Macaca mulatta: one gene and its partner. The protein of the gene in region 1 purifies or fractionates together with the protein of each later gene. This does not show direct contact. Links are inferred from orthologs where the notes say so. Each region holds a gene or a part of one and is shown in the gene's direction. Other genes may lie near its edges.

Evidence for each region.
Region 2: the proteins of UQCRB (region 1) and COX6B1 purify together in Homo sapiens (affinity purification with mass spectrometry; 3 studies listed by BioGRID and IntAct, counting the BioPlex papers as one, with this or other methods). This does not show direct contact. The link is inferred for Macaca mulatta from reciprocal best matches to the Homo sapiens genes UQCRB and COX6B1.

Annotation. Positions count from the first base shown.
Region 1 is NC_133413.1:106,631,875-106,642,301, reverse strand, and holds the start of UQCRB (cytochrome b-c1 complex subunit 7), read left to right. Parts: upstream 1-3,603; 5' UTR 3,604-3,610; coding exon 3,611-3,629; intron 3,630-6,303; coding exon 6,304-6,375; intron 6,376-7,540; coding exon 7,541-7,707; intron 7,708-8,361; coding exon 8,362-8,439; 3' UTR 8,440-10,427. UniProt on the Homo sapiens protein: Component of the ubiquinol-cytochrome c oxidoreductase, a multisubunit transmembrane complex that is part of the mitochondrial electron transport chain which drives oxidative phosphorylation.
Region 2 is NC_133424.1:46,913,505-46,923,361, forward strand, and holds the end of COX6B1 (cytochrome c oxidase subunit 6B1), read left to right. Parts: intron 1-434; 5' UTR 435-445; coding exon 446-554; intron 555-4,131; coding exon 4,132-4,232; exon of another isoform or gene 4,233-4,852; intron 4,853-5,227; exon of another isoform or gene 5,228-5,769; intron 5,770-8,245; coding exon 8,246-8,299; 3' UTR 8,300-8,433; downstream 8,434-9,857. UniProt on the Homo sapiens protein: Component of the cytochrome c oxidase, the last enzyme in the mitochondrial electron transport chain which drives oxidative phosphorylation.

The DNA of each region.
Region 1 (10,427 bases):
TCATCTAATATCTACAGCTCAGATAATGCCACAAAGCACACTTCATTTTGGATTATCTACATTGTTAACTTCTTGAACACAGATATTCACAGTTGGCTAAGAATCAGGAAAAGGAAAGTGGAGTTTAAAGATTAGGGGCAATGAGATATAGTGAAAGGCTTAACTAGCCTTTGACTTATTACCAGTAAACAAAGATTTGTTTTCTGTTTATGATGTGTTATCCTGGGCAAGTGATTTCATCTCTGAGTCTTTGCTTTTTTATTTGTAAAACAAAGTATCGCAACTTCAGTTGTCTGCGTTATGATCACTAGATTGGGTAGACTGTTAACACTGGTAACCCCCATGAACCACACCTGGTATTTGCACTGTTGTGTAGTTAGTCCTCTCCCACACTGACTCTGGGCCAATGTGATTTGGCCCAGGGGACATTTGTCAAGCACAGGCTTGATAAGAATTTGCACATCAGGGCTTGCCCTCTTGGAACATTTGCTCTTGGCACCCAAAGCTACGGTATAGAGAGGTCTGGTTACTCTGCTGGAGAAACTAGGTGGAGAGAAAGATGTCTGGCCAAACCCCAGCTTTTTCAGCCATGCCAACTGAGTACCAGACATGCATGAAGAAGTTATCTGGGATGTCCCAGCCTTAGCAGACACTACACTAAGCAGAACAACCCAGCTGAATTCAGAATTGGGAGAAAGTGTTTTAAGTCACTAACTTTCGGGGTAGTTTGTTGTGCTGAGGGTTTTGTGGTGTGCTGGATGCCCTTCAAAAAACCTCATGAAAAACTAAATTTGTAATTGGTCAGGGCCAGGTATAGTGGCTTTCCTGTTACATATTTTATTCATGCAACCGACATTTGAGTTCCTAGAATACAGTAGTGAGTGTGACATAGATAGGTGCTTTCATGGAGTTCGCCAATGGATGAGATCAACAAACAGGAAACAATAAAAAATAAGCTGGGGACACCATGGAACCATCCTGTCCTCTCTTTGTATGGCTCACAACCGCATTTTGCCTTTATGAATAACCCACTGAACAACCTTAGAATAGGCAAGTTGTGCTGATACAATGAACAATCCTAAAACCTCAAATGATTGAAAAACCACAAAAGGTTTTTATCTTATACATGTCTCTTAGGACCACAAAGGCTCTGCTCCACATCATCTTTAGTGATACAGGTTGATGTATCCTGTCTCCATCATTTCTGGAGTGTTACCAGTCTATGGAAAAGGAAAGGAATGTGAAGAATTGCTCTTAAAGAGTTATCACATTTTTCTTGGCTAAAGTATCACATGGCCATGCCTAACTTTGAGGGCAGAGAAAGGCAATCCCTAATCCTGTGCTGGGAGGAAAGAAAACCAAAATTAGTTTTTGAATCAACATTAATGACTACCAGCAAACATTCAGTCTCTAGCTTAATTCCTTAGGAGCTGGATTTTGTGACAATTTTGGGTTTCTGATTTTTTGATATGTCTTTTCTTGTCACCTTCACCTGTAACCAGCAAGTAAAACGTAAAGGGTAGAAGGGAGGAGAGTTTATTGAGTACCTACCCTCTGCAGGGCAATGTGCCAATGTACATATGTATTGCATTTCTTCACATCTTTCAGACTTCACTTTGGCTAGTGTAAGATAGAAGAGATCATTCATCAGCTTTAGTGCTGCATACAGGACTGACTAATAGAAGAATTGTAGCAGCATGGAGATAAAAGAAAAAGGAAAATCAATAGAATCTTAGAACTGGAATGTGACTAAGATCATTAAATCTAACCTTTTGAACTTACGACGAGACAAGGTTCTATTCTATATTGTCCCAGCTCTGAGCTTAAAACTGAGGGGAAAAAAGATATCACCGAGTAATGGTAGAAGTTCACCAGTAACTATCAGTCATGCCAGTTCCCCCCAATTGTTTTCTGTCTCTAGATGTTTATGCCTAAGACTTCACATGTTGGGGCTGAGACCTTAATAGTTAGCAAATCTATATACTTTTGTCTTTAAATTATGTGCAAATTCTGCAATACATCTTAGATTTAATCTTTAAAAACCTTTTCTTCTGGGCGTGATGGCTCACACCTGTAATCCAGTATTTTGGGAGGCCGACGTGGGTGCATCACTTGAGGTCAAGAGTTTGATACCAGCCTGGCCAACACGGTGAAACCCTGTCTCTACTAAAAATACAAAAATTAGCGAGCATGGTGGCATGTACACCTGTAGTCTCAGCTACTCAGGAGGCTGAGGCACGAATCGTTTGAACCCTGGAGGCAGAAGTTGCAGTGAGCCAAGATTGTGCCATTCAGCCTGGGTGATAGAGGCTGAACAACAAAAAAAGAGGTGACCAAAAAAAAAAAAAAAAAAAAAAACCAACCAACCAACCAAACGAAAAACCCAAAACCTTTCTGACCTAACCTTCCACTAAAATAGCTAGATGTAGATCTTCAGCTGGAGAAACCCAAGGCCTGAAAGGCTTGGTGTCTTTCCTGGATTAGTAGTGTAGCATATGGCCCTAGAATTAAGGAGCCCTAAGTTTGCGTCTGGATTTTCAGATTCTGGAAGAAGAACCTGGACTCTTCTAGTCATGTCCTCTTGGACAAGTTATTCAACCTTTCTGAGCTTCAGCTTTCTCCTATCTACAATGAGATAATGACAGTACTTTTAGAATTAAATGACAGTGTAGGGGAGTGAGAGATCACGCCTTTGCTCTTATGTGGGCTCTTTGGTTGGATCTAGGAACCAAATTGACACAAGGCAGATTAACAAGAGAAAAGCATACTAATTTTACTAGTTTTACATGTTTTACATGTGCATGGGGATCCTCACAAGAGAGTGAAGTGGCCAATGTAAGATGCCTTTATACTTTTTACACGAACTACAAATCAGAAGAAAGGGGATCTGGCTAGGGGCAGTGAATTTCTTGCGGAGTCATTAGGAGAAACGTGGGTGTGGTGGGGTGTAAACTTAGTGGAAGATAAGGGTTATTTCGGAAAGTATATTCAGGTCCAAAGCAGCTCCCAGTTTCCAGTCTCTGGTGATGGGTGCTATTTTCTCCCTCTGGTAAGGGACGGGTACTCCGGAGGAATCCTGGAGGAAACTTTACGGCTTGCTGCATGCAGGAAGAGATGGGTCATCAAACCCTTTCTGAAACTACAATTTCTCCAACATTTTCAACTCCAAATAATCAGTGTACCAATTCCATATATTTTTGGGATGGCGCATCCATCAGTCCTTCAATAGAAAATAAAACGATGCCCTTAAAACATTTAGCTTCCTGCCTGGCACAAAGAGCTGAATTCATACTGCCCACGCTCTCATAGCTATTAACAGCAAGTAACAGAACCCAGCTTTAAGCCTCGGTCTCCTAATTCCTGACCTGTGTTCTTCCCATCACATCACAACCAATACTTCTTGGAATGTAGCACGCAAAACGCCCCGCCTACTCCATTGGCCTCACCCTGGCCGAGAAGTGCACACGCAAGAGCTCAACGACAGCCGTCAGAACTGCGCCTGCGCAAGCGGCGTTTCTCGGTTCGCGATGTGGCGTAACGCGCCTGCGGACTGGGCCCAGCGTGTCCTCTATGACTTACCCAGAAGGCAACGTTTCATTTTCTGGTCAAAATGGCTGGCAAGCAGGCGGGTAAGTGACTGGGGAGTCTTCTTGGCGGGCATCGTCGCGCTCCACCGTTTATTTTCGCTGCAGCTCACTCCGTTTTCTCTCTTCTTTGTAAGTCACCAAGTTTGTCGCGGAAGGGAAAGTGGCGGCTTCAGTCCAGCCAAAAGGACGTGCTTCCCCACTCGTTTGTTGTTCCCAGGCCGGGCTTGCCTATATAGGGTTGGGGTGTTAACCCGCTGTTTGTGAAGGTGCCCGCGGTGGCTCTAACAGCCCTGGAGTTCCAGCTGCCTGTGCTCGGAAGTCCTTCCCCTCGGCCTTAGAAAAGTTAAAGGTCACAAGAAGATAACTAGTGGATGACTTTCAACCAGAATGAGCTCAGTGCTTTCTTCTATGACCCAGGTGCTCTATCGTGTGCATTGGCCCTATAAATTCTCCTGCCAGTGCCACGAGGGAGATATTAATTTCCCGTTTACGCTGATAAGACAACTGAGGCAAAGTGACCCAAGGAAGTAGAATTGGAAATTTCATTGCACCCCTCGCGCTTCTCAAACTGTGAATCAGAGACAGTCTAGCAAGGGATACGAGCGACGCTTCACATTAACCTTGGATTATCTAGAACGTCAGCTTGATCAGTAGGTTTGGAGAAATTTGAATTTATTGTAGGTTCAAACAAATTTATTGTGGAATAGAATGCAGATATTACTGGAATATTTAAAACAACTTGAACATTAAGTTGGGTTTCCTTGTTTTTTTGTTTTGTTTTTTTTTTTGCTAATCTCTGCCCTCTGGCGGTACAAGTTGGAGTATCTTTTTTTTTTTTTTTTTTTTTTTTCTTTTGAGAAGGAGTCTTGCTTTGTCGCCCAGGCTGGAGTGCAGTGGCACAATCTCGTCTCACTGCAATGCAACCAAGTTGGAGTAGCTTTTAAAAAATATTGATCCTTTTCTCCCTGACCCCAGCAATTGTGAAGCTGTTAGGAAACATCAGGTTGCCAGAAACATCCGCTAACCTAATTGACATTGAGCTTTTTGGGGGTGGGGGAGACTTTTTAAATAATTATTTTATTAATTTAGCAGATATTGAAGGAGTCTTACTAAATTCAAGACACTGATTCTGTGCGTGTTTGGGATCTACATAGACCAGATCTCAACTCCCATTAGCTAACTGACCTTGGGTGGGATCACTTCTGTAAGTCTGCTTCCCTTGCTGTAGTAAGAGGCATGTAAATAAATCAGCTAATGTTGGTAAAGCAAATAGGAAAGTGTTTGGTGCACAATAAGTGTTTAGTGAATATTATTCTAGTCACTGATAGGTGGTTAAAAATAATCTGTCTTCCACAAGTATGTTTGTAGATTGTTGACTGATACTTGTTTTTCTGGCAGCAGTTTTATACATGACTTCATTTCCAAGGAGATGTGCTGAAGCCACGTAATCTGTAGTGCACTGAGTTTGCAGGCAAGGAGGGCTGAGTGAAAGGAGAGTTTGCTTTCCTTCCTTGGTAAGGGGCTAACGCTAGACAAAATTTTAAAAGAAAATGTAAACTTGTTCTACCTCCCCTTTTGTAAAACGTCTCTCCTAAAATGTCAGGTACGGTCCTGCTGTACTTGGACCCTGCTGGGTTACTTCATCAGACTCAGCCCTGTTCCCCAAAGAATTTTATTTATTTATTTTTTTTTTTTGTTTGTTTGTTTGTTTTTGAGACGGAGTCTGGCTCTGTCCCCCAGGCTGGAGTGCAGTGGCCGGATCTCAGCTCACTGCAAGCCCCGCCTCCCGGGTTCACGCCATTCTCCTGCCTCAGCCTCCCGAGTAGCTGGGACTACAGGCGCCCGCCACCTCGCCCGGCTAATTTTTTTTGTATTTTAGTAGAGACAGGGTTTCACTGTGTTAGCCAGGATGGTCTCGATCTCCTGAACTCGTGATCCGCCCGTCTCGGCCTCCCAAAGTGCTGGGATTACAGGCTTGAGCCACCGCGCCCGGCAAGAATTTTAAAATTACCCATTTCTCATCCGTTTTCAATACCTATTCCCTTGGGGGGAACTTAGTTGCTTAGGAGGAGGTAAATGGACTTCTTTTACTAATCCATATTAATGTTTAAATGACTAATGGTATCAAAATCCTCCCCAAAATACATATATTTTTAAAGAATGTAGCCAAATGAAATAACTGTAATGTCGAGTAAAATTTTTACAGGATGAGGGTCATTTAGACCTGCCAGCCTATGCTGAAATCTCACTCTCTTTTCATACAACTCCAGCTCCTTTGAAATGAAAAGTTTACAATTATTTCCTGTGATCTATTTATGAAACTACAAATGATAGAAATTTCCAAGTCCTTTTCCTATCTCTCACCCCTTCATTTCTGAAGGTAACAGGGCAGGCATAAGGGCACACGATGTACCTATGGATCTTTTGTACATTCAATGTTTGAGTTTACCCTCTTCTTCCATGACTTGCCACCATTTTCCTGCAGCCACTTTTGCTCATAAATAAAATAAGCAATTTTTATCAACAGTTTATAAACTTTTTTCTTTTAAATCTAATTCTTTTTTGATTAAATTCTTGCTGTATATAGTATATACTTTTAAAAGGAAATTTCTTTCTATGTTTGCATTCATCAGCAAGATAACTGAGTACTGGTTGCTTGCCCATCAGTGTGTTCATATAGTATAATTGTAGCAACTAACAGTGTGACAATGATCAGTTTCAGCATCAGGCAAGTGGCTGGATGGTATTCGAAAATGGTATTACAATGCTGCAGGATTCAATAAACTGGGTAAGCATCTGTGCTTTTTAATTTTTCTTTTTTTTCTGAGAGTATTGCTTTTACAAGTGTTACTGTGGTTCCAAAAAATATTTCAGTTCTTGTATACATCAGAAGATGTTAAAATTAAATCACATTATGTTAAATCCAGTTCCTTTTTAAAATTTTTTTGAGAGGAGAGGGATGAAAGCCTCTAAAATGTTTGACTTGGTAATGATTTAAGTAGTAAGACATTTTCCTTCTACACCCCTTCTCCCAACTCTACCACTTAAAATTTTATTTATTTATTTGGGACAGAGTCTTGCTCTGTCACCAGGCTGGAGTGCAGTGGCGCAATCTCAGTTCACTGCAACCTCCGCCTCCCGGGCTCAAGTGATTCTCCTGCCTCAGCCTCCTGAGTAGGTGGGATTACAGGCGTGTGCCACCATGCCTGGCTAATTTTTTTTGTATGTAGTAGAGACAGGGTTTCACCATGTTAGGCTGGTGGCGAGCTCCTGACCTCAGGTGATCCACCTGCCTCTGCCTTCCAAAGTGCTGGGATTACAGGTATGCGCCAGTGCGCCCAGCATTCCACTTAAAATTTTAAGTTTTATAAACACTGAAAGTAGAGATTTTTCAAATATTAAAATTTTATCATATCCATGCGATCATATGTTTCCTAAGCTTTTTTAGAACTTTGTAATTTGCCATGAACTTCATCTTTTGCTATTGAAGCTTGAAGAAAGTGTAAGCAAAAGTCACTGGTTCCTTAGTATACTATTATTTTAAGATTCATTAATACCTTGATCTCAGATTTAAACTATGAGAAAGTAGAGATGTGGTTTATTAATGTGTGTTTAAAAACAAAGTAAACATTTAAAATATTTTGTAAATGGTTTAGATAAAATATGAATTTTGTGGCATTGGATTTTAAGAGGCTCATATATTGTTTCCATAGTCTAGTTCAAGAAATAACCCATTATGTCAAGTAATAACTCATTACTTTTAATGGCAAAACCGCAATTACTTTTGCACCAACCTAATGTATGAAGTGCATTGAATTTCCATTGAACCTAGTGATTTGAATTCGATAGTTCACCAAAAGTTGTAAGTTATAAGTCATAAAGATATTTTACTAATTTTAAAAAAACGTGATCTTTGAGATGCATGTGCTATCTAACTTTGTCGTCTGTCATAGGGTTATTGCGAGATGATACAATGTACGAGGATGAAGACGTAAAAGAAGCCATAAGAAGGCTTCCTGAGAACCTTTATAATGGCAGGGTGTTTCGAATTAAGAGGGCACTGGACCTGAACCTGAAGCATCAGATCTTGCCTAAAGAGCAGTGGACCAAATATGAAGAGGTAGCACAGCTTTATCTACCTGACAATGTTGCTCATTAAGGATTGAGTTTTAGAAACGAGAAACATGTTCATTTGCGTGGTGTTAGAGTTTTCTGAGTCATGTCAAATAAATATTCTGTCAATAGTTTGGTGAGGTTAATAAAGCAAATGTTATTTCCGTTTTAGAAGAAAACCACATTGACTCTTATATGTGAAATGATTCTTCTGAAATCACTAAGCAAGTCTCTAATATAGAGAGCCAGGACTAAAATCCAGGTCTGTTGCCACCCAGGTCATTGTTGTTCTACCTCTGCACTCTGCTTCCTACTTAGATGAAAAGATCAGCCCATTGAGTGGCCCTCCAGATCCCAAGAAGAGCTTCTGTGAAGCAAACTCTCACCCCTTGAACTGCATTGAAACTAGGCGAAGGCCTGTAGACACTCATTTCTTTTTCTTCCCAAAAAGACTTCCCTCTCATAACCTATCAAAGCAACTTACCACACTATCACCACAGATTTGACTTTTTAAAAAGCAGATAGTTCTTAGGTTGAGAATATGTTTTCTAAAATTGGAAATTAAAAAGTAATTTTCTTTTTCTTGTTATCGAAGACCTGTTGAGTGTTTGGGATATATCAGTACGCAATGGTAACATATAATATTTCATTCATTCTTTAGGAAAATTTCTACCTTGAACCGTATCTGAAAGAGGTTATTCGGGAAAGAAAAGAAAGAGAAGAATGGGCAAAGAAGTAATCATGTAGTTGAAGTCTGTGAATGCAGCTGTTATGAAGATGGTTATACTTGAAACAAACAATTTTAAGAATTGTTTGGTCTGCAGATGTTTTACTTTAAATAAATGTCTATTGTAATGGCTGGAGTTTTTGAATTCCAAACCTTACACTGAATAACTACTGAATCCATTTACTGTTAAATTTTTTTACAAACTTTCAAGATATTTTTAGTCGTGTTTAACTGCTGCCTGGAGCTCAGAGGCCACTTTATCAGTTTTCCTCACTGGTTGGATAGCCTATCAGTTTATGGAAGGATATAACTTCCATAAGTTACATCCTTGTGGAAGCTACTGAATAAAAGAAGGGGGAGTACACCCCCTAGTTTGCCAGGATTGAGAAATAGCCTCTTCACTGCTATCCAAATAGATTTGATTTTGCATCCTATCATTTAAAAATAAATTATGTATTCACCCCAACATAGGCATGCTTAAGTAATACATATACTCCTGTGCTAACATGTATACTAGAAAACAAAAAGTAGACATTAGAAAAATGGAAGTATAAATACAAATCATACTTGTTCCCATATCCCAGTGACTTTTCCACTTTTGAAATAATTGTTATGAAGTTTAAGGCTTGGATACTAATCAGTTAAAAGTTTTAAGATCATAGGGTAATTTTTTAAAATATAAATTAGAATCATTGGCTTGGCATGGTGAGTCATGCCTGTAATCCCAGCACTTTGGAAGACTGAGGTGGGCAGGTCACCTGAAGGAAGGAATTCGAGACCAGCCTGGCCAACACGCTGAAACCCTGTCTCTACTAAAAATAGAAAAAATTAGCTAGGCGTGGTGGTAGGCACCTATAATCGCAGCTGCTCGGGAGGCTGAGGCAGAATTGCTTGACCCCAGGAGGCGGAGATTGCAGTGAGCCTAGATCACACTACTGCACTTCAGCCTGAGCGACAGTGGCTCTGTCTCCAAAAAAAAAAGGAAATTAGAATTATTTAATGTTGTCATTTCCACTCCTGAATTCTGAAATGCTTTCTTTGGTGGAGGTGAGAGTGTGGAGCCACAGCTAGCAGAGAAGGAACAGTAGCACCTGCAGCCTCCCTGGTTTTCCAGGACAAGTCATTGCTGTGTGTGGTAGGAATGCCTTACTTCAAGTAACAAAACTGTGTGAGAAATTTGTGTTACATTTAAAATTTGTAAAGCAATGAGAAATGTGTGTATCATGAAGAGCATCTTCAAATTTTTGCTAAAATAGCCTCTTAAATTCCCTAGGAACCCGCTTCCCCCACTAGTTTTTTTTTTTTTTTTTTTTTTTTTGGCTAGTCAGATTATTTTTCTAAACCTGTCCTTAAATCATGTCAATTTTCTTTTGTCTGGTTCAAGACAACAATATTACTTAATAATGGTTTTGCTCAGGTCACATTGTGACAAAGTTTTAATGTCCTACTTTGCAGAAGGAGGCCAAGAAGATGGGCTATCTAGAACCCCTTTTAAAAGCATTTGTCTATTCAGAAAATTTTCCTGAATAGATGTCTCCAAAGGCTCTTTTAATTGTGATTTCAAGATCACTTTTGCAGGACTCTGGTCTATTCGTTCAGACATCTACCATGTACGATTACAAGGAGACTAGAACTGAGGCATCTCAAAGAGTACTGTCAAGGTGTGTAGGGAGCCAGGTGGGTGGAGGGAGGCTGGGCTCTGACCCTAGAAACCATGCTTATGAATAGCTGTTAATGTTTAAAGCAAGCCTAAGGGCACTGCTGAAGGACAGGGGAACAAATAGAACTGACCAAGATTGAGGTATAACAGGAACCCCCAGGCTATCCACCTGCTCAAGGTAAAAAGTGTGGTATTACATAGGGCAACCTCTGATTTTGTAAGAGTTCTTCCTAAAGCCAAAGTGTATGCCTATTCTCTGTTTCCAGATTACTTCATTCTTCTAAATGAGAACAAGTGTGCAAAAGTTCTTTGAACACGATATCAATGTTTTGTGTTCATT
Region 2 (9,857 bases), on another chromosome or scaffold:
TGTAGATTATGCCAACAACGGAGGCAGCCCACCATTTATATTTATGCTGTTTAACCTTAGAAAGTCACTTAGACACCCTGTTCCTTCCTCGTCTGGGCAATGGTGATAGTAATAATTCCTACCTTTTAGAGTAAAGTAGGAGTAATGTGTGTAGAACAGCACCTGGCATGTAGTAAGCACTCAGTGAGTGTTAGCTCATGTTATTTGGGGACCAGGCTTGATTTTGCTGAGGAGTTGTACCCCAACCCTGCCGTGACCGCCACATTCAGATATGTGAATTCGCCTTGCCCCTCATCTCTGTGTATGTTGAGAGGCAGGAACTTGTCCACACTCAGCCCATTCTTCTGTGCCTGCCCTCTTCCATTGATCCTGGGTAGTCTGGCTTGCTGAGGGGCCCTGGGGCCCCTGTCAACACCCACTCCTTTCGCCTCCAGGATTCAGCACCATGGCGGAAGAAGACATTGAGACCAAAATCAAGAACTACAAGACTGCCCCTTTTGACAGCCGCTTCCCCAACCAGAACCAGACCAGGAACTGCTGGCAGAACTACCTGGGTAAGCAGGACCTTTCCCTGGCCACATACCTCGAGTCACTCACCGCTTGCCTCTTCCTAGAGGACTCATCCACCCCAGCGTCCTCCCTTTTGTTCTGAACATCCTTACTCTGGAAGGCCCATACCTCTCATCACCTGCTGTTCAGGTCCAGGCCAGGGTTATAAACTTTAGTTCCTGCAATGATTTTTTTTTTTAATTTAAATTTTTTATTATTATTATGTTTTGTTGTTGTTGTTGTTGTTGTTTTCCGGAGATGGGGTCTCACTGTCACCTAGGCTGGAGTGCAGTGGTGCAGTCATAGCTCACTGCAGCCTCAACCTCCTGGGCTCAAGAGGTCCTCCTACCTCAGCCTCTCGAGTAGCTGGGACCACAGGCCCACACTACTGCACTTGGCTAATTTTTTTGTAGAGAAGAGGTCTCGCTTTGTTGCCCAGGCTGGTCTCAAACTCTTGGCTTCATGTAATCTTCCTGCCTTAGCTTCCCAAAGTGTTGGGATTATAGTTGTGAGCCACTGTGCCTGGCCCCTACAATGATTTTTTTTTTTAAGCTGTATGTGTGTGTGTAGTGTAACATGTACAGAAAGCACATAACAAACATATACAGCTAAATGAATAATTCTAAAGTGAACCCCTTGTGCAACCATAACCTGGATAGAAAAGCAGACGTTGCCCACACTCTTATCTCCCCACCTTCTTTCTTTCTTTCTTTCTTTCTTTATTTATTTATTTTGTTTTTTCGAGATGGAGTTTCACTCTTGTTGCCCAGGCTGGAGTGCAATGGAGCGATCTTGGCTCACTGCAACCTCTGCCTCCTAGGTTCAAGCGATTCTCCTGCCTCAGCCTCCCTAGTAGCTAGAATTACAGGCATGTGCCACCATGCCCGGCTAATTTTGTTTTTTTAGTAGAGATGGGGTTTCTCCATGTTGGCCAGGCTGGTGTCGAACTCCTAACCTCAGGTGATCCGCCCACCTCAGCCTCCCAAAGTGCTGGGATTACAGGCATGAGCCACCGCGCCCGGCCCCTGCCTTCTTTATGTCCTGTCTGGAACACAACACCCTGCTCTCCCCAGTAGAGAAGTGACCCCACTAACTGGGGGTGATCACATCTTTGTTTTTGTTTTTGTTTTTTTTTTTTTTGAGACGGAGTCTCGCTCTGCCGCCCAGGCTGGAGTGCAGTGGCCGGATCTCAGCTCACTGCAAGCTCCGCCTCCCGGGTTCCCGCCATTCTCCTGCCTCAGCCTCCCCAGTAGCTGGGACTACAGGCGCCCGCCACCTCGCCCGGCTAGTTTTTTGTATTTTTTAGTAGAGACGGGGTTTCACCATGTTAGCCAGGATGGTCTCGATCTCCTGACCTCGTGATCCGCCCGTCTCGGCCTCCCAAAGTGCTGGGATTACAGGCTTGAGCCACCGCGCCCGGCCTGTTTGTTTGTTTTTGAGACTGAGTTTTTTGCTCTTGTTGCCCAGGCTGGAGTGCAATGTCACAATCTTGGCTCACTGCAACCTCCCCCGCCTCCTGGGTTCAAGCGATTCTCTTGTCTCAGCCTCATGAGTAGCTGGGATTACAGGCACCCACCACCATGCCCAGCTAATTTTTTGTGTTTTTTGTTTTTAGTAAAGACGAGGTTTCACCATGTTGATCAGGCTGGTCTTGAACTCCTGACCTCAGGTGATCCACCCGCCTCGGCCTCCCAAAGTGTTGGAATTACTGGCGTGAGCCACTGCACAAGGCCTCACATCTTTGTTTTACCACCATGTTTTTTATTTTATTTTATTGTATATATGTTATGTATATTATGTTATTTTGTTATGTTATTGATGGAGTTTCTTTCTCGTTGCCCAGGCTGGAGTGCAGTGGCACGATCTCAACTCTCTGCAACCTCTGCCTCCCGGGTTCAAGTGATTCTCCTGCCTCAACCTCCTGAGTAGCTGGGATTACAGGCGCCCGCCACCACACCCAGCTAATTTTTTTTTTGAGACAGAGTCTCGCTCTGTCGCCCAGGCTGGAGTGCAGTGGCGTGATCTCGGCTCACTGCAAGCTCTGCCTCCCAGGTTCATGCCATTCTCCTGCCTCAACCTCCCTAGTAGCTGGGACTACAGGCACCCGCCACCACGTCCGGCTAATTTTTTTGTATTTTTAGTAGAGATGGGGTTTCACCATGTTAGCCAGTATGATCTTGATCTCCTGACCCCGTGGTCCGCCTGCCTCGGACTCCCAAAGTGCTGGGATTACAGGTGTGAGCCACTGCACGTGGCTTTTTTTTTTTTTTTTTTTTTTTGAGATGGAGTCTGGCTTTGTCACCCAGGGTGGAGTACAGTGGTGCCATCTTAGCTCACTGCAGCCTTCACCTCTCAGCTTCAAGCAATTCTCTGCCTCAGCCTCCTGAGTAACTGGGATTACAGGCACCTGCCACCATGCCTGGCTAATTTTTTTTATTTTTTTATTTTTAGTAGAGACAGGGTTTTACCATCTTGGCCAGGCTGGTCTTAAACTCCTGACTTCGTGATCCACCCACCTCAGCCTCCCAAAGTGCTGAGATTACAGGTGTGAGCCACCGTGCCTGGCCAATTTTTTTTTTTTTTTTTTTTTGAGACAGAGTCTTGCTCCGTTGCCCAGGTTGGAGTGCAGTTGTGCAATCTCAGCTCACTGCAACCTCCGCCTCCTGGGTTTAAGCAATTCTCCTGCCTCAGCCTCCTGAGTAGCTGGGACTACAGGCACGTGCCACCACACCCGGCTAATTTTTGTGTTTTTAGTAGAGACAGGGTTTCACCATGTTGGCCAGCCTGGTCTCAATCTCCTGACCTCGTGATCCACCTGCCTCAGCCTCCCAAAGTGCTGAGATTACAGGCATGAGCCACCATGCCTGGCCAATTGTTTGTATTTTTAATAGAGACAGGGCTTCACCATGTTGTCCAGGCTGGTCTCGAACTCCTAACCTCAAGTGATCCACCTGCCTCGGCTTCCCAAAGTGCTGGGATTACAGGTGTGAGCCACCATGTGCAGCTACCACCGTGTTTAGATTCACCTCTTTGTGAACTTTATAAATACTGTGTGTTTTCTTTTGTGTTTGGATTTTTTCATTCGAATACCTTCTCAGATCTATACATGCTGTGGCATATAACTTGCTCATTTTCATTGCTGTTCAGTTTTCTACAATTTATTCTACGCCTGGACACTTGTGTGATTTTCATTTTGGAGTTCTTTCAAATGATGTGGCTGTAAACATCTTTATAAATGTAATTTTGCTGGATGCGGTGACTCCCACCTGTAATCCTAGCACTTTGGGAGGCTGAGGCAGGCAGATCAAGACCAGCCTGGCCAACATGGCGAAACCCTGTCTCTACTAAAAATACAAAAAATTAGCCGGGCATGGTGGCAGGTGCCTGTAATCCCAGCTACTCGAGAGGCTGAGGCAGGAGAATCACTTGAACCCAGGAGGAGGTAGGGGTTCCAGTGAGCCAAGGTCACACCATCGCACTCCAGCCTGAGTGACAGAGCGAGACCCTACCTCAAAAAAAAAAAAAAAAAAAAAATGTGTTCCAGCTCTTGATCTGGGCTGACTTGAACCCCTTTCTTCACAGACTTCCACCGCTGCCAGAAGGCAATGACCACTAAAGGAGGCAATGTCTCTGTGTGCGAATGGTACCAGCGTGTGTACCAGTCCCTCTGCCCCACATCCTGGGTATGTGCCTCCTACCAGGGCCCTTGGGATGCTGGGGTGGGGTCTTTGCAGAGGGGAGCGTGGTGGCTTGGTGGGAGCTCATCTGTGAGGGGCAGAGGGAGGACAGGGCTCCACACTGTCCCAGGACTCAATGCCTTTCCTCCCTCCTAGAACTGCCTCCCTTTCTCCTTCTGTTGATGCCTCTCAACCAGTCAGGGCTCTCAGCTGAGGTGACCAGGGCATCTTGCTAGATGTAGCTCACTCATGCACTCTCCAAATACACACTCAGCACTGGGTTCCCATCCCTGTATAGCTCACAATTCTGTGCAGTCCTGTCCTTTTTTATTATGAGCATTTTCTTTTTCTTTCTTTTTTTTTTTTTTTTAAAGACAGTCTTGCTCTGTTACCAGGCTGGAGTGCAGTGGCGCGATCTTGGCTCACTGCAACCTCCGCCTCCCAGGTTCAAGCGATTCCCCTGCCTCAGCCTCCCAAGTAGCTGGGACTACAGGTGTGCACCACCACGCCCAGCTAGTTTTTTGTATTTTAATAGAGATGGGGTTTCACCATGTCAGCCAGAATGGTCTCGATCTCCTGACTTCATGATCCACCCGCCTCGGCCTCCCACAGTGCCAGGATTATAGGTGTGAGCCACCACGCCCCGCCCTATTATGAACATTTTCAAAGTAGAGAGAATAATTCATTGACCCCAAATACATCCATCACCCAAAGTGAATAGTTATCAAGATTTATCCACAGTTTCTTCATCTACCCTTTTTCTTTTTCTTCTTTCCTTTGCTGAAGTATTCTAAAGCAAGTCCCAGACACATCATTTCACCCCTGCCTACTTCAGTGTAGACTTCTAAATAATGACACAGTAAGAGAGTCCCTTCAGCCCTGATCTGAGCAAATCTGTTGTCAATATTTAATAGCTCTTTGCTATGCCCCTGCCCTTTGTTTAAAAAGCAAAAACAAAAACAAGTTTTTAAAGACAGGGTCTCACGATGTTGCCTCGGCAGGACTCGAACTCCTGGGCTCAAGTGTTCCTCCTGCCTCAGCCTCCTGAGTAGCTGGGACTATAGGCATGTGCCACTGTGCCTGCCTCTCTCTGTGTCTCTCTCTCTCCCCCCCCCACTTCCTCTCTCTCCCTCTCTCCCTCTGCCTCCCTCCTTCTCTCCCTCTGTCCTTCTCTCCCTCTCTCCCTGTCTCCCTCTCCCTCTCCCACTCTTTCTCTCTTTCTTTCTTTTCTTTTCTTTCTTGAGTCTCACGCTGTTGCCCAGTCTGGAGTGCAGTAGCATGATCTCGGCTCACTGTAACCTCTGCCTCCTGGGTTCAAGTAATTCTCCTGCCTCAGCCTCCTGAATAGCTGGGACTACAGGCATGAGCCACCACACCTGGCCCAATTTTTGTATTTTTTTGTAGAAATGGGGTTTCGCCATGTTGCCCAGACTGGTCTCGAACTCCTGAGCTCAAAGCAGTCTGCCTGCCTCAGCCTCCCAAAGTGCTGGGATTATAGGCGTGAGCTACCACATCCAGCTGAATCTTTCAAAATAAAAAAAAATTACCCTTCTTTAACTTGGCAATTCCACATCTAGGCATGCTACAAAAATCTTCATGTACAAAGATGCCCATTGCAGAGCTGTTTGTAATGGGGAATATTTGGAAATAACCCAACTTAAAACATTTATCTTGATAGTCTTTATGGAGACTGTGGTGATCTACGTGCTGGCACACGGAAAGAATGCTAAGACACAGGAAAAGCAAGTTGCAGAACAATCTATATAGTAGGAGTCAATTTGCAAGGATGGAGTTTTTATGGTGTGGTGTGTGTATGTAAATAAAGTAGGCATACACTGATGGCACTTATTATGGGCCAGCTATGTTGTTAGCACTTTGTTTTTTTTTGTTTTTTTTGTTTTTTTGAGATGGAGTCTTGCTGCTCTGTCTCCCAGGCTGGAGTGCAGTGGTGCAATCTCAGCTCACTGCAACCTCCGCCTCCCGGGTTCAGCAATTATCCTGCCTCAGCCTCCCGAGTATCTGGGATTACAGGCGCCTGCCACCACGCCCAGCTGATTTTTGTATTTTTAGTGGAGACAGAGTTTCACCATGTTGGCCAGGCTGGTCTCAAACTCCTGACCTCAGGTGATCCACCTGCTTCGGCCTTCCAAAGTGCTGGGATTACAGGCGTGAGCCACTGTGCCCGGCCATGTTAGCACTTTACATCACATGAGGTCAACATGCTAAAACAACCGTATGAGGTAGGTACTATTGTTAGTATCCTCATTTTACGGAATTGGAAACTGAGGCCCAGAAAGGTTGAGTAACTTGCCCAAGGTCACACAGCTCGGAAGTGATGGAGCAGGGATTCAGATTCAGTCTCTCCATTGTCCATGCTTTCATCCACTGTTCCTTTCACCAGTGGTCCTCACCCTTTTTGGCACCAGGGACGGGTTTCATGGAAGACAGTTTTTCCACAGACAGGGTTGGGGATGGTGTAAGGATGAGTCCAGCATATTACATGTATTGTCCACTTTATTCCTACTATTATTACAATATATAATAAAATAATTATACAACTCACCATACTGTAGAATCAGTGGGAGCCCTGAGCTTGTTTTCCTCCAACGAGATGGTCCCATCTAGGGGTGATGGGAGACAGTAACAGATCATCAGGCATTAGATTCTCATAAGGAGCGCACCGCCTAGATCCCTGGCATGCGCAGTTCACAATAGGGTTCGCACTCCTGTGAGAATCTAATGCCGCCGCTGATCTGACAGGAGGTGGAACTCGGGCAGTAATTTGAGCCTTAGGGAGTGCTTGTAAATATAGTTGAAGCTTCTCTCGCTCACCTGCCGCTCACTTCCAGTTGTGCGGCCCAGTTCCTAATAGGCCACAGACCAGTACCTGGTTGGGGCTCAGGGACCCCTGCCTTATAGCATAAAATGTGAGCACATATGTATATAAAAACGTTTATGCTTGTAACTGCCTGTGAGGCCCACAGAGTAGAGTGTTACTTTCAGGGAGTGTTAATTTGACATAGGCCTTATATGGGCCTTTTCATCTTTTTTTTATTTTTATTTTTATTTTTGTTTTTAGAGAGACAATCTTGCTCTGTCACTCAGGCTGGAGGGCAGTGTGCAATGGTAGCATCATAGCTCACTGCAGCCTCGAACTCCTGGGTTCAGGCAGTTCTCCCACCTCAGCCTCCCTAGTCACTGGGACTACAGGTGCATGCCACCATGCCTGGCTAAGTTTTGTATCTTTTGTAGAGACAGGGTTTTGCCACGTTCACCAGGCTGGTCTCAAACTCCTGGGCTCAAGCGATCCTTCCACTTCCACCTCCCAAAGTGCTGGGATTATAGGCATGAGCCACCATGCCCCGCTTGTTTTTTGTTTTTTGTAGAGATGGGGGTCTTGCTGTGTTGTCCAGGTTGGTCTCAAACTCCTGAGCTCAAGCAGTCCTCCTACATTGGCCCCGCAAAGTGCTGGGATGACAGGCGTGAGTCCTGAGTCACCACACCCAGCCTCTATCATCATTTATACTAAGCATTGCCTGTGGTCAGTGGTGGGATTGCACTGTGTATTCCGTTTGGCACCTTTTTTGCACTTGACTGTATATCTTGAAGATCATGCCATTCATGCCAGAACATAAATCAGCCTCGTTTTGTTTTTTCACAGCTGCCTGCTATTCCATCTCCCCTATTTGGACAAACAGCATAGTGTTGACATGAGGTTTTCAAAGCAGGGCCCACCCTTGGAGCTCTGTACAGTGACAGATCTCCCCATCGACAGCTCTGCAGTGGGCCTGGGGTTTTCCTGCTGCCTGTTACTCTCCTCCCAGCACGTCAGCTTGTTCAGAACAGTGATTTCTGTCTTTTGGGGTCACTGCTGATTCCCCGGCCCCTGGAATAGAGGTTGGCACACAGCAGGTACCTGTGGATATTGGTTGAACAAACAGGTGGGCAAAGTGAGGAAGATAAGAAGTCCCCCCATGCGGTTTCCCTACCGCGGTGGGAATAACACTGTCTTTCCACAGGTCACAGACTGGGACGAGCAACGGGCTGAAGGCACGTTTCCCGGGAAGATCTGAACTGGCTGTACCTCCCTGTCTTCTGTCCTCTGTCCTTCTCCCAGGATGGTGAAGGGGGACCTAGTACCTAGTGATCCCCACCCCGGGATCCTAAATCGTGACTTACCTGCTAATAAAAACTCATTGGAAAAGTGAGACCATGCGTGTGAATGGGCTAGGCAGTGGCAAGAAGCTGGGCTGGAATCAGTGCCCTGACCAGGGAGGGGCTTCAGTGAGTATTTTTTCTGTTTTGTGTTTATTTTTTTAATTTAATTGTTTTATTTTGTTTTTGTTTTTTTATGATAGAATCTCATTCTGTCACACAGGCTGGAGTGCAATGGCATGACCTCTGCTCACTGCAACCTCCACCTCCGGTGCTCAAGCGACTCTCCTGCCTCAGCCTCCCAACTAGCTGGGTCTACAGGCACACTCCACCACGCCTGGCTAATTTTTGTATTTTTAGTAGAGATGGGGTTTCACCATGTTGGCCAGGCTGGTCTCAAACTCCTGACTTCAGGTGATCCACCTGCCTCAGCCTCCCAAAGTGCTGGGATTACAGGCATGAGCCACCGCGCCCAGCATTTTTTAACTTAATTTTATTGAACCTTGACTACCCTCTCTGTGCCAGTCAATGAGTCAAATAGTTGATTATACAGAATAACCTAAGTACCTATGTGTGCAACCACCCTACATAATTTTAAAGCCAATCCTGGAGATTATATTTTATCCAGAAATAAGAAACTATATGTATCTCTTGGAGATACCATTTTTTTTTTTTTTTTTTTGAGACTGAGTCGCAATCTGTTGCCCAGGCTAGAGTGCAGTGGTGTCATCTCAGCTCTCTGCAACCTCTGCCTTCTGGGTTCAAACTATTCTCCTGCCTCGAGATACCTATTTTTTTAAACATAATTATTTACACCTAAGAAATTAGTTCTTAATGGCCAGGTGCGGTGGCTCACGCCTATACTCCCAGCACTTTGGGAGGCCGAGGCGGGCGGATCACCTGAGGTCTGGAGTTCAAGACCATCCTGGGCAACACGGTGAAACCCCATCTCTACTAAAAATACAAAATTAGCTGGACGTGGTGGCGGGCGCCTATAATCCTAGCTACTCAGGAGGCTGAAGCAGGAGAAACGCTTGAACCTGGGAGGCAGAGGTTGCAGAGGGCGGAATCGGGATTCGAACCTAGGTTTCTCATTCTGCAGCCTGAAGAAATACATGTCTGCTTGGTCCATGTGTGTGTTGGGGGGCAACAGGGACTTTTCTTCAATCAAGCCCAGTGTGCCCCTCTTACTTTCTAGCACGTTCTTCTTCCCGCTCTTTGTACTCATCTCAGACTCCCCTCACACATCTATCCTGGGTGCCATCCTTTCCCTCAGCCCACTGCCCATGTAATCAGCCTCCTAAGCACCCCTTCCACCTGTCCCCTCATCTCCCCACTGCTCTGTCTTGGTGCAGCCCTGGCCTCGGCAGGGGTCCCTGCCTGGGCCTCCCCACGGGCTCCCGGCTTCACAGAGGAGCAGCCACCTGCCCAAGGTCACACAGCAGAAGAGGCACTTTTGGGATTCAGGACCCATCT